Linked DNA regions of Macaca fascicularis. Each later gene encodes a partner of the first gene's protein in a complex. Links are inferred from orthologs where the notes say so. Each region holds a gene or a part of one and is shown on either strand. Other genes may lie near its edges.

The links. The genes of interacting proteins can lie anywhere in the genome.
Region 2: the proteins of CNNM2 (region 1) and protein tyrosine phosphatase type IVA 1 are in contact, whole or in part, in a crystal structure (PDB 5MMZ), measured with the Mus musculus proteins. The link is inferred for Macaca fascicularis from reciprocal best matches to the Homo sapiens genes CNNM2 and PTP4A1. Residues at the interface, in NP_291047.2 of Mus musculus: Phe526, Asp528, Val551, Asn553, Glu556, Gly557, Asp558, Pro559, Phe560, Tyr561; in NP_035330.1 of Mus musculus: Asp72, Gly73, Ala74, Gly107, Leu108, Gly109, Arg110, Arg137, Arg138, Gly139, Ala140, Phe141, Asn142, Lys144, Gln145.

The regions. Positions count from the first base shown.
Region 1 is NC_088383.1:112,089,992-112,093,551, forward strand, and holds part of CNNM2 (metal transporter CNNM2), read left to right. Parts: intron 1-1,584; coding exon 1,585-1,722; intron 1,723-1,924; exon of another isoform or gene 1,925-1,989; intron 1,990-3,560.
Region 2 is NC_088385.1:29,336,117-29,340,395, forward strand, and holds protein tyrosine phosphatase type IVA 1, read right to left. Parts: upstream 2,834-4,279; 5' UTR 2,149-2,833; coding exon 1,627-2,148; 3' UTR 310-1,626; downstream 1-309. Other genes in the region: inositol 1,4,5-trisphosphate-gated calcium channel ITPR2, read right to left, coding at 1-214. UniProt on the Homo sapiens protein: Protein tyrosine phosphatase which stimulates progression from G1 into S phase during mitosis. May play a role in the development and maintenance of differentiating epithelial tissues.

The DNA of each region.
Region 1 (3,560 bases):
AAGTGATCCACCTGCCTCGGCCTCCCATAAGTGCTGGGATTATAGGCGTGAGTCACCGTGCCTGGCCAATTTCAGGTATATTCTTGATCTGGATAGAGATTGGGAGTGACAGCTGTTGCCATTAGAATTATTTTAAATTCTGTATTGATTTCTGCTGTCTAGTTCTCAAAAGAATTGAGGCAGACGAAAAGTAGAAGTTGTGATCGCCTTCTCAGGAAAAGCCTAGTAATCAATCTGTTTTGCTCCATGCAAGAAACAATAATGCAGTGAGTCAGTTATTGGGAAGGAGCAAGCGATTGGGGTCTTGTCTTTAAGCTCTTTTTTTCTTGATCATTACTTTGTCCAGAAAAGTACTTAAAAGATGGTTTTGCAGGAGGTACCTTCTAGGTCAGGAGCTGGCAAACCACAGCCGATGAGTGCCTGTACTCTGCTTCTGTGTGACCTGCAAGCTAAGAATGTCTTTTCACATCTTAAAATTGTTGCAAAATGGCCAGCATGGTGGCTTATGTCTGTAATCCTAGCACTTTGGGAGGCTGAGGCAGGAGGATTGCTTGAGCCCAGGAGTTCAATACCAGCCTGGGCAACATAGTGAGACTCTGTCTCTACAGAAAATTTAAAAATTAGCTGGGCATGGTGGCAAACACCTGCAGTCCCAGCTACTTGGGAGGCAGAGGTGAGAGGATCACTTGAGCCTTGGAGTTGAGGCTGCTGTGAGCTGCGATTGTGCTGCTGCACTCCAGCCTGGGCAATAAAGCAAGAACCTATCTCAAGAAAAGAAAAAAGAAAAGAAAAAAAAAACAATTACTTTGTGACGTGCAAAAATTATATGCAATTCAAATTGCAGTGTTCATAAAGTTTGATTGGAAAACAGCCATGCTCCTACATCTTTCTAAACAGCAGTGTGGAGACTGTGTAGGCCCGCAGAGCCTAAAATATTGACTCCCTGGACCTTTTCAGAGGAAGTTCACGGACCACTGTCTGGATCCCATTCGCATCTGCTTGACCTTGAGGATCTCATGGTCTGGAGTAGCAGTGAAGCAAACAGATATTAAAACACTGCTCTGTGAAAGCATTCTTGTTTGTTTCTTAAGGGGGTTTCATTTGTGTGTTGTCTTTCAGCAGAGGTGAGGGGCCTCTTACAGGTAGGGACACTCCTCCCTTGTGTGTACACAGTGGTGGTCCTTTGCTGGAGTATGGTGACATTGAGCAGCAGTGGACTGTGCACTCCAGGCTGCACGCCCTGTTGCTATATGCTTCTGTGGGTCCTGTGAGAGGCTCTGTCAGCATTTGCCTGATGCTATGCTCACAAGGGCCCTCTGCAGACCTTCCTGAAGTACCTTCACTCATCAGGCTGCCTGTGGTCACTCACTGCGGACTGCATGGTGCCCAGGCTGCTGTGCTGAGTTGATGAGGATCTGGCCCTCTCTTCCTCCTTCCCTGTGGCATCTGTGCCTAGAGCGCCTGCATCTGGAAATACAGTCCAGCCCTTCCAATATATTTTGTCTTTTTCATTCAGAAAGAGCCCTGATCTCATGGGATGCATTTTCTTATTTTTTTTTTTTTCTCTTTTCATTCCTCCCTTAGCTGACAACAGAACAAAAAAGAAAGTAGCTCACCGGGAACGAAAGCAAGATTTTTCTGCCTTTAAGCAGACAGACAGCGAGATGAAGGTTAAAATATCACCACAGCTCCTCCTGGCCATGCACCGTTTCCTAGCAACAGGCAAGTGCAGCTTATCACAGTTTGAGATCTCTACCAACCCTGGAGTGTGTTTCTCACCCACCACTGACTGGGGTGGGCTGGGGGTGGACACTGGGAAATGGGGTGATAAGTAATGCCACTTTTGTGTTTTGTTTTTTGTTTTTTTGTTTTTTTGTTTTGTTTTGTTTTTTTCTTTTTAAATTCTCTCCTCTCCTATGTTCAGTGTCGGCATGAACCCTCTGAGACATTTACCAGGGGTGGACCAGTAACTTAAAATTGGTCTGAAAGGTAAGGATGAATGTTAGTGCCACACTGCATGTGAACAGTAGGCCAGGCCATCTCCTTCCAGCTAGGTCTGTGGGAGAGCCAGCTGGCGGAGCAGGCTGATGGTGCCAGCCTGGCACCAGCTTGTTTGATGGACAATTGAGTCCAGTCTCTCTTCAGCTTGTCCTGGAAGCACAGTTGGACATCAGTGGTAACACAGGGGCTATGATTTGCAAAGAAGAAAACTAGGTTTTCACAATTAAATCTTTATCTTTTATGGTTTTAATGAAATCAAATTCTAAGAACTTTGATATGGATTTCTTGATGGCCTCCTCAGATCAGATTAACTCGAGTCCATTTCAGGAGGCAAGTGTTCATGTTGTTTAAACCACCAACCCAGCCGGCACTGACTGCTCCAGAGAGGTCAACGTTGAATGAACTTAAGATACTGACCAACCCTTCTCCCATCCCCAGATGCTCTCCAGGGTTGAGCTCTGGTGGCCAGGGGAAGTGTGAGAAAGTCTAAAGCATCCATTGGCTTTAGAAGACATCAGTGTCCCTGATAGGCAGCCAGTGCCTTTCATCTGCATGCAGTAGACTTAAACCATGTTTAAAAGAAGGCTAGCCGTAACCACCTGACGGAATGCTGTGTAACTCTTTAAGGTCGCGTTCTCAGAAGCCTGGAAATGCTCAATATAATATTTATCACATTAGAAAATATTCATAACTTAATACAAAGTGGGGAGAAACAATCTAAAACTATGTGTACTTTAAGATTAGAGTTGTGTTTTTGTGTGTACACACATGGATACATGAGCACACGTGCCTAGGCATGGCACTGGAAAGAAATTCTCACTCAATTGCTCAGAATGGTAATCTGAGTGGTTGGCTTATAGATAATTTTTACTTTCTTCTTTTTCTGTATTTTCTAAAATTCCTATAATGACTGTCTTATTACAAAAAAGTCAAGTTAATACAGAACTTACAGCTTTCATAAATACATAATTAGAAAATAACAGACAATGTCTTTCACTTATTACTCTTTTTCTAGTTTTGATAATACTGTTCCTCATCATTTAAGAATCACAAATTAAAACTAAACATCTAGGCAGGGCATGGTGGCTCATTGCCTGTAATCTCAGCTCTTGGGGAGGCCAAGGCAAGCTGATTGCTTGAGACAGTCTGGCCAACATGATGAAACCCTATCTCTACTAAAAATACAAAAATCAGCCAGGCATGGTGGTGGGCGCCTGTAATCCCATTTACACAGGAGGCTGAGGCAGAAGAATCACTTGAACCCGGGAGGTGGCGGTTGCAGTGAGCCGAGATCGCACCACTGCACTCCAGCCTGGGTGACAGATTGAGACTCCTTCTCAAAAAAAAAAAAAAAAAAAACACTAAAACTAAATCTCCTACTCTGCTTCTGAGATATCATAGAGTCCAGTTGTAGGATAGCACCCTTCAGTCAGTAATTTTTGTTTTTGTATTTAAAATAAAATTGCTATCTTCGTAAATACTTTTGAACGTTACTTTTTTTTTTTAATTAGCATGTTGATGTGTGCACATGCCCTGCTCTTATTTCCAGTCTCAACCCT
Region 2 (4,279 bases), on another chromosome or scaffold:
TGTCGTCCAGCGGGAGAAGGGAATTACACTTGATTTCAGTGTAGACATTTTTCCCCTCTGTGCATGCTGCCAGCAGCTCCACCAGGGTGATGTGGTAGGCTAAGGGGCCACTCTCATCCCCTCGGTCTCTCTCTGAACACATCATATGGAGAAGGATGGGAAATGACGCTCTATCATTGTAAAATATCAGCACGTCTTCACCCCCATTTATCAACTGAAAAGATAATAAGAGAGTCTACAGAGCCGTCCAAACATTTATCCTTGCAGTTAATTCCAAAGGCTTGATATATCTGGAAACACATGTATCTCTTTGTTTTTTTTTTGTTTTTTTTTTTTTGATGATAAATGCATGTCATTATTTATTTAGATGTTTCAGCTCTCGCACTAAGTTTTTACAAGCTGGTGAACACTGACAAAATTATTTCTCCCACAGAACTATAACCACACATCCCCAGACAGTATAAATATATGGTTGAACTAACATTAATACACATCACCATTTTATCAATTACATAATAAAACAAATTATCAAGTATCCAAATATTAAGTTACACAGCTCAAAAGGCATATAAAATATTAGATGTCTGCTCAATTCATTAGCAGAAACCCATTTCTTTTTTTGCAAGAGAGGTTGGGAAGGGAAAAAAAAATCACACTTTCAAACAAAAATAAGTTGGTAAACATGCTTCTGATAAGTATGGAAAAAAAATTACAAGAATTTCAGGAAGTTTATGATTACAATAACAAAGCATCTCTACCTTTTAAAAAAATATTTTACTAAATTAAAGAGCATGTTCTACATGTTCTGCACAAGACAAAGGCAACATTTTGCTAAAAATAATTAATAGCCCCCTCCCATTCTTTTCTCAGGCCCTCCCTGTTAAGTTGCACCTCAGAGTGCAAACATTAAATTAATGTAAGGCTTTTTTGTCTGAAGACATTAAAGACATGTGCTTCTGTACAATGTAGATTTTCAAAATGGAGGTTTTTTTAATAACAGCACAAAGTGAGATTTATAGAAACATATTAAATGATCACTGTAAGACTTGGTAAAAAAAAAAAAAAAAAATCAATGGTTAAGCAAACCTGATGTATACCGGTATGAATGTGGGAGATGTAAACATAAAGTGAGCAGGCAAATAACCATGTAGGCCCTACTTTCAATGTTTGAAATGAGTGAAGGAATAAACCACATAAGGTCTAGAGTGTTCATAGTTCCTGGGATTTTAGTTCTGTATGGTACTAAAAATATACAAGTATTGTGCTGGGTATTTTGGCACCTAATCTTCCTAAATTTCTTATGTATTGATAAGATTCTGGCATGGGAATAGATTTAAACAAGTCATAACTCAATACTCCATGATTTTGGGAAAGGTCAATTGATACAAATGACAAGCACATTTTATACGCTGACAGCAAGAATCTTTTGCCAAGTATCCAAATAGGTTGACTGTAACCCAAATACAGAGGTTGCCAAATCTGTCTAGCTTGTGGCCTGGTAAAACTGCCTTTCAATACTCCTATGGAAGCTTCATTAGACTTACTAAGCCAACATGTTGGCTAATATGTATAACAAATTAGACCCTATCTCAAGTTCCACTTCCAATAGCATTAGGCACCCCAATTTTATTGAATGCAACAGTTGTTTCTATGACCGTTGGAATCTTTGAAACGCAGCCGCATTTTAGGACGATACTTCTCCAAATACAAAAGTTGCTTGCTGTTAAAAGCTCCACGCCGCTTTTGTCTTATGAATTGTACTGCATCTTCGTATTTCATTCCACCTTCAATTAATGCTAGGGCAACAAGTACTGGAGCTCTCCCAAGGCCTGCAACGCAATGAACAGCAATACAACAACCAGGTTCTTCACGAAACTTAATTTTTACAAGACTTAACCAGTCATCGACAATCTGGTTGGATGGTGGTGCGCCATCATCAAAAGGCCAATCAAGAACATGGATACCTTCTTTCTCCACAAGAGTAGTGTCGTAAGTTGCTTCACACACTCTTACTATTGTGGTAACTCCATACTTCTTAAGTTCCTCTATAAATTTGTTTAAGGTCGCATTGGTTGGATTGTGTGTAATAAGAAATCTCATGTTCTTGTATGTGACTTCCACAGGAGCTGGGCGGTTCATTCGAGCCATGTTAATTTAGTTAAAAAACACTCAATAGGGTTATGAAATAATTTAAAAAAATTGAATACAGAAATGATGCAAAGAAACTGAAGTCTACTTCAATATACTCCACTTGAAATTCTCAGTGCTTGAGTATGAAGTTGTAAGTAATGATAAATGAAATGAACCTCCTAACAAGCAGCAGCAATTCTTCAATCCAGTAATACTGAGGCCAACAGAAAAGAAGCGCACTGAGGTTTACCCCATCCAGGTCAGAACTCTTGTAAAATGCTCTGTGGATTTCAATTCAACACTTCTGTGTCCAGGATAACCACTCTTATGGGGGCTTCTTGGTGGAGTAGTAATCAGTTTCTACAGTTCACTTGTCTGCATAGAGGTCGTGCTGTGCCTGGCAGTAATCTCCACTGCCCTTCAGAAACTCCATAAATGTGTGACCAAGACCACCACAGAATTGAGGAATATGTTTACTCATTGAAGATTGTGGCCTAATCATACAGCCGGTCCCGAGGCGGCGGCGACACAGGCGGTGGTGGCGGCTGCAGGGCAGGAGGCGGCGGTGGTCGTGGCGGAGCGGCGGTGGCGGCGATGCAGGCGGCGGCGGGGGCACCAGACTCTACCATGCAGTGAGCGGCTCGGAGCAGAGCGCGTAGCCGAGCCGGCCCGCAGCCGAAGGAGCCAATACACGCGCCGAGGCCACATGTATCTCTTTGTAAAAACATATATAATATGGCACAAGCAGAGCTAAGCTGGGGGAGGGTGGTGAAAAGATTATGGTCCCATGCCAAGGAACCAGCTATGAATGCTATCAAAATCAGTTGGGGTGATATGGAAGCAGCAGATGGGGCAAGAATGAAACAATATGGATGATAGTAAATTGTTCATCACACTCAAATTAAACCTGTAAAAAAATAGTTATTTTCCTCTACCTTTTTTTGGCCAGGAGACTATGGCCAAAGCACAAGAAATCTCATAATTTTACTAAAGCAGAGTAAAATATCCTCATCCATTGTAATAGTGACTGCATAAGCAAGTACATCGAGCTAATTACAGCTCTACAAAAGTCTAAAAAATTCCATGTGTCATAAGAAGGCATCAGTAGAGAATGAAGGTAAAAGCAGAGACAAGAGAAATAAGTAGAAAACTAAGACCAAAAAACCAAGAGAAACAAAGATATGAATAGGTAGGGGCTTTTAGGACATAAATTTTCCTTCATATTTTGTTTATATAATTTTAGTAGAAAATTCCATCAGATGGCAGTTTTATTGCTCAAACTCCATACTATCTTATTGTCTATTATCAGTACCAATTTTCTAACCCCAGTGTGAGACATGTTGGTAGGTAACTAAGGATATACAATTTTTTCTCTATGTATTATATTTAAAGTGACAACATATTTAAATCTATAAGCCAGTTGGCTTACTTTGAAAGTTTTGTTGAAAGAGAATGTATATTTATCAAAAATATGTATTACATATTAACATAATATAATATTACAAATACTTCTTTGTGCACAGAAACACTTCACCCAACAGTGTCATAGGGATGGTTTCACTGTTTGCTGCTTCCCCATTCTAATTCTTTCCTTGCTGATCATAACACAAAATCCATTTAGTTCTCACATTTCCAGACAATGAAGAGCTAATGTGAAGGTAATTTCAGAGAAGAAAAAGGTGCATTTTACAAGCTTAAAATGTTCCTTAAAATGTTTAATAACAATAATTTACATTTAAAAATTCAAGGCTTTAAGCTAAATTAATTTTAAGATTTCTAAGTGGCAGGAGGGACTCCTTGAAGCATTATGGAAATTTCCTCCATTCCCAAATTTAAGGTATATACTAATGAAAATGCCCAGAAACCAATAAAAATCTACCATGTAACTATTTGGTAGCCATAGGTGGAAGCTCCCTTAGTCCATATGGGCCACTAGAGAACCATTTGGTCACAGAGTAGTGATTTAATCAACGGGCTCTTTAAGCTGCTACTTCTCCAATGCATCATACTTGAAGGCAATAGATGAAGTGCCTTCATCTATTCATTTGCTGAAAGTTACAACTTACTCTAAATAATAAGTTTCCACATGTTGTAAAAAAAAAAAAAATCACTGTTGGGTAGTTTGTATTACTTAGTTTGATTCTCTTCA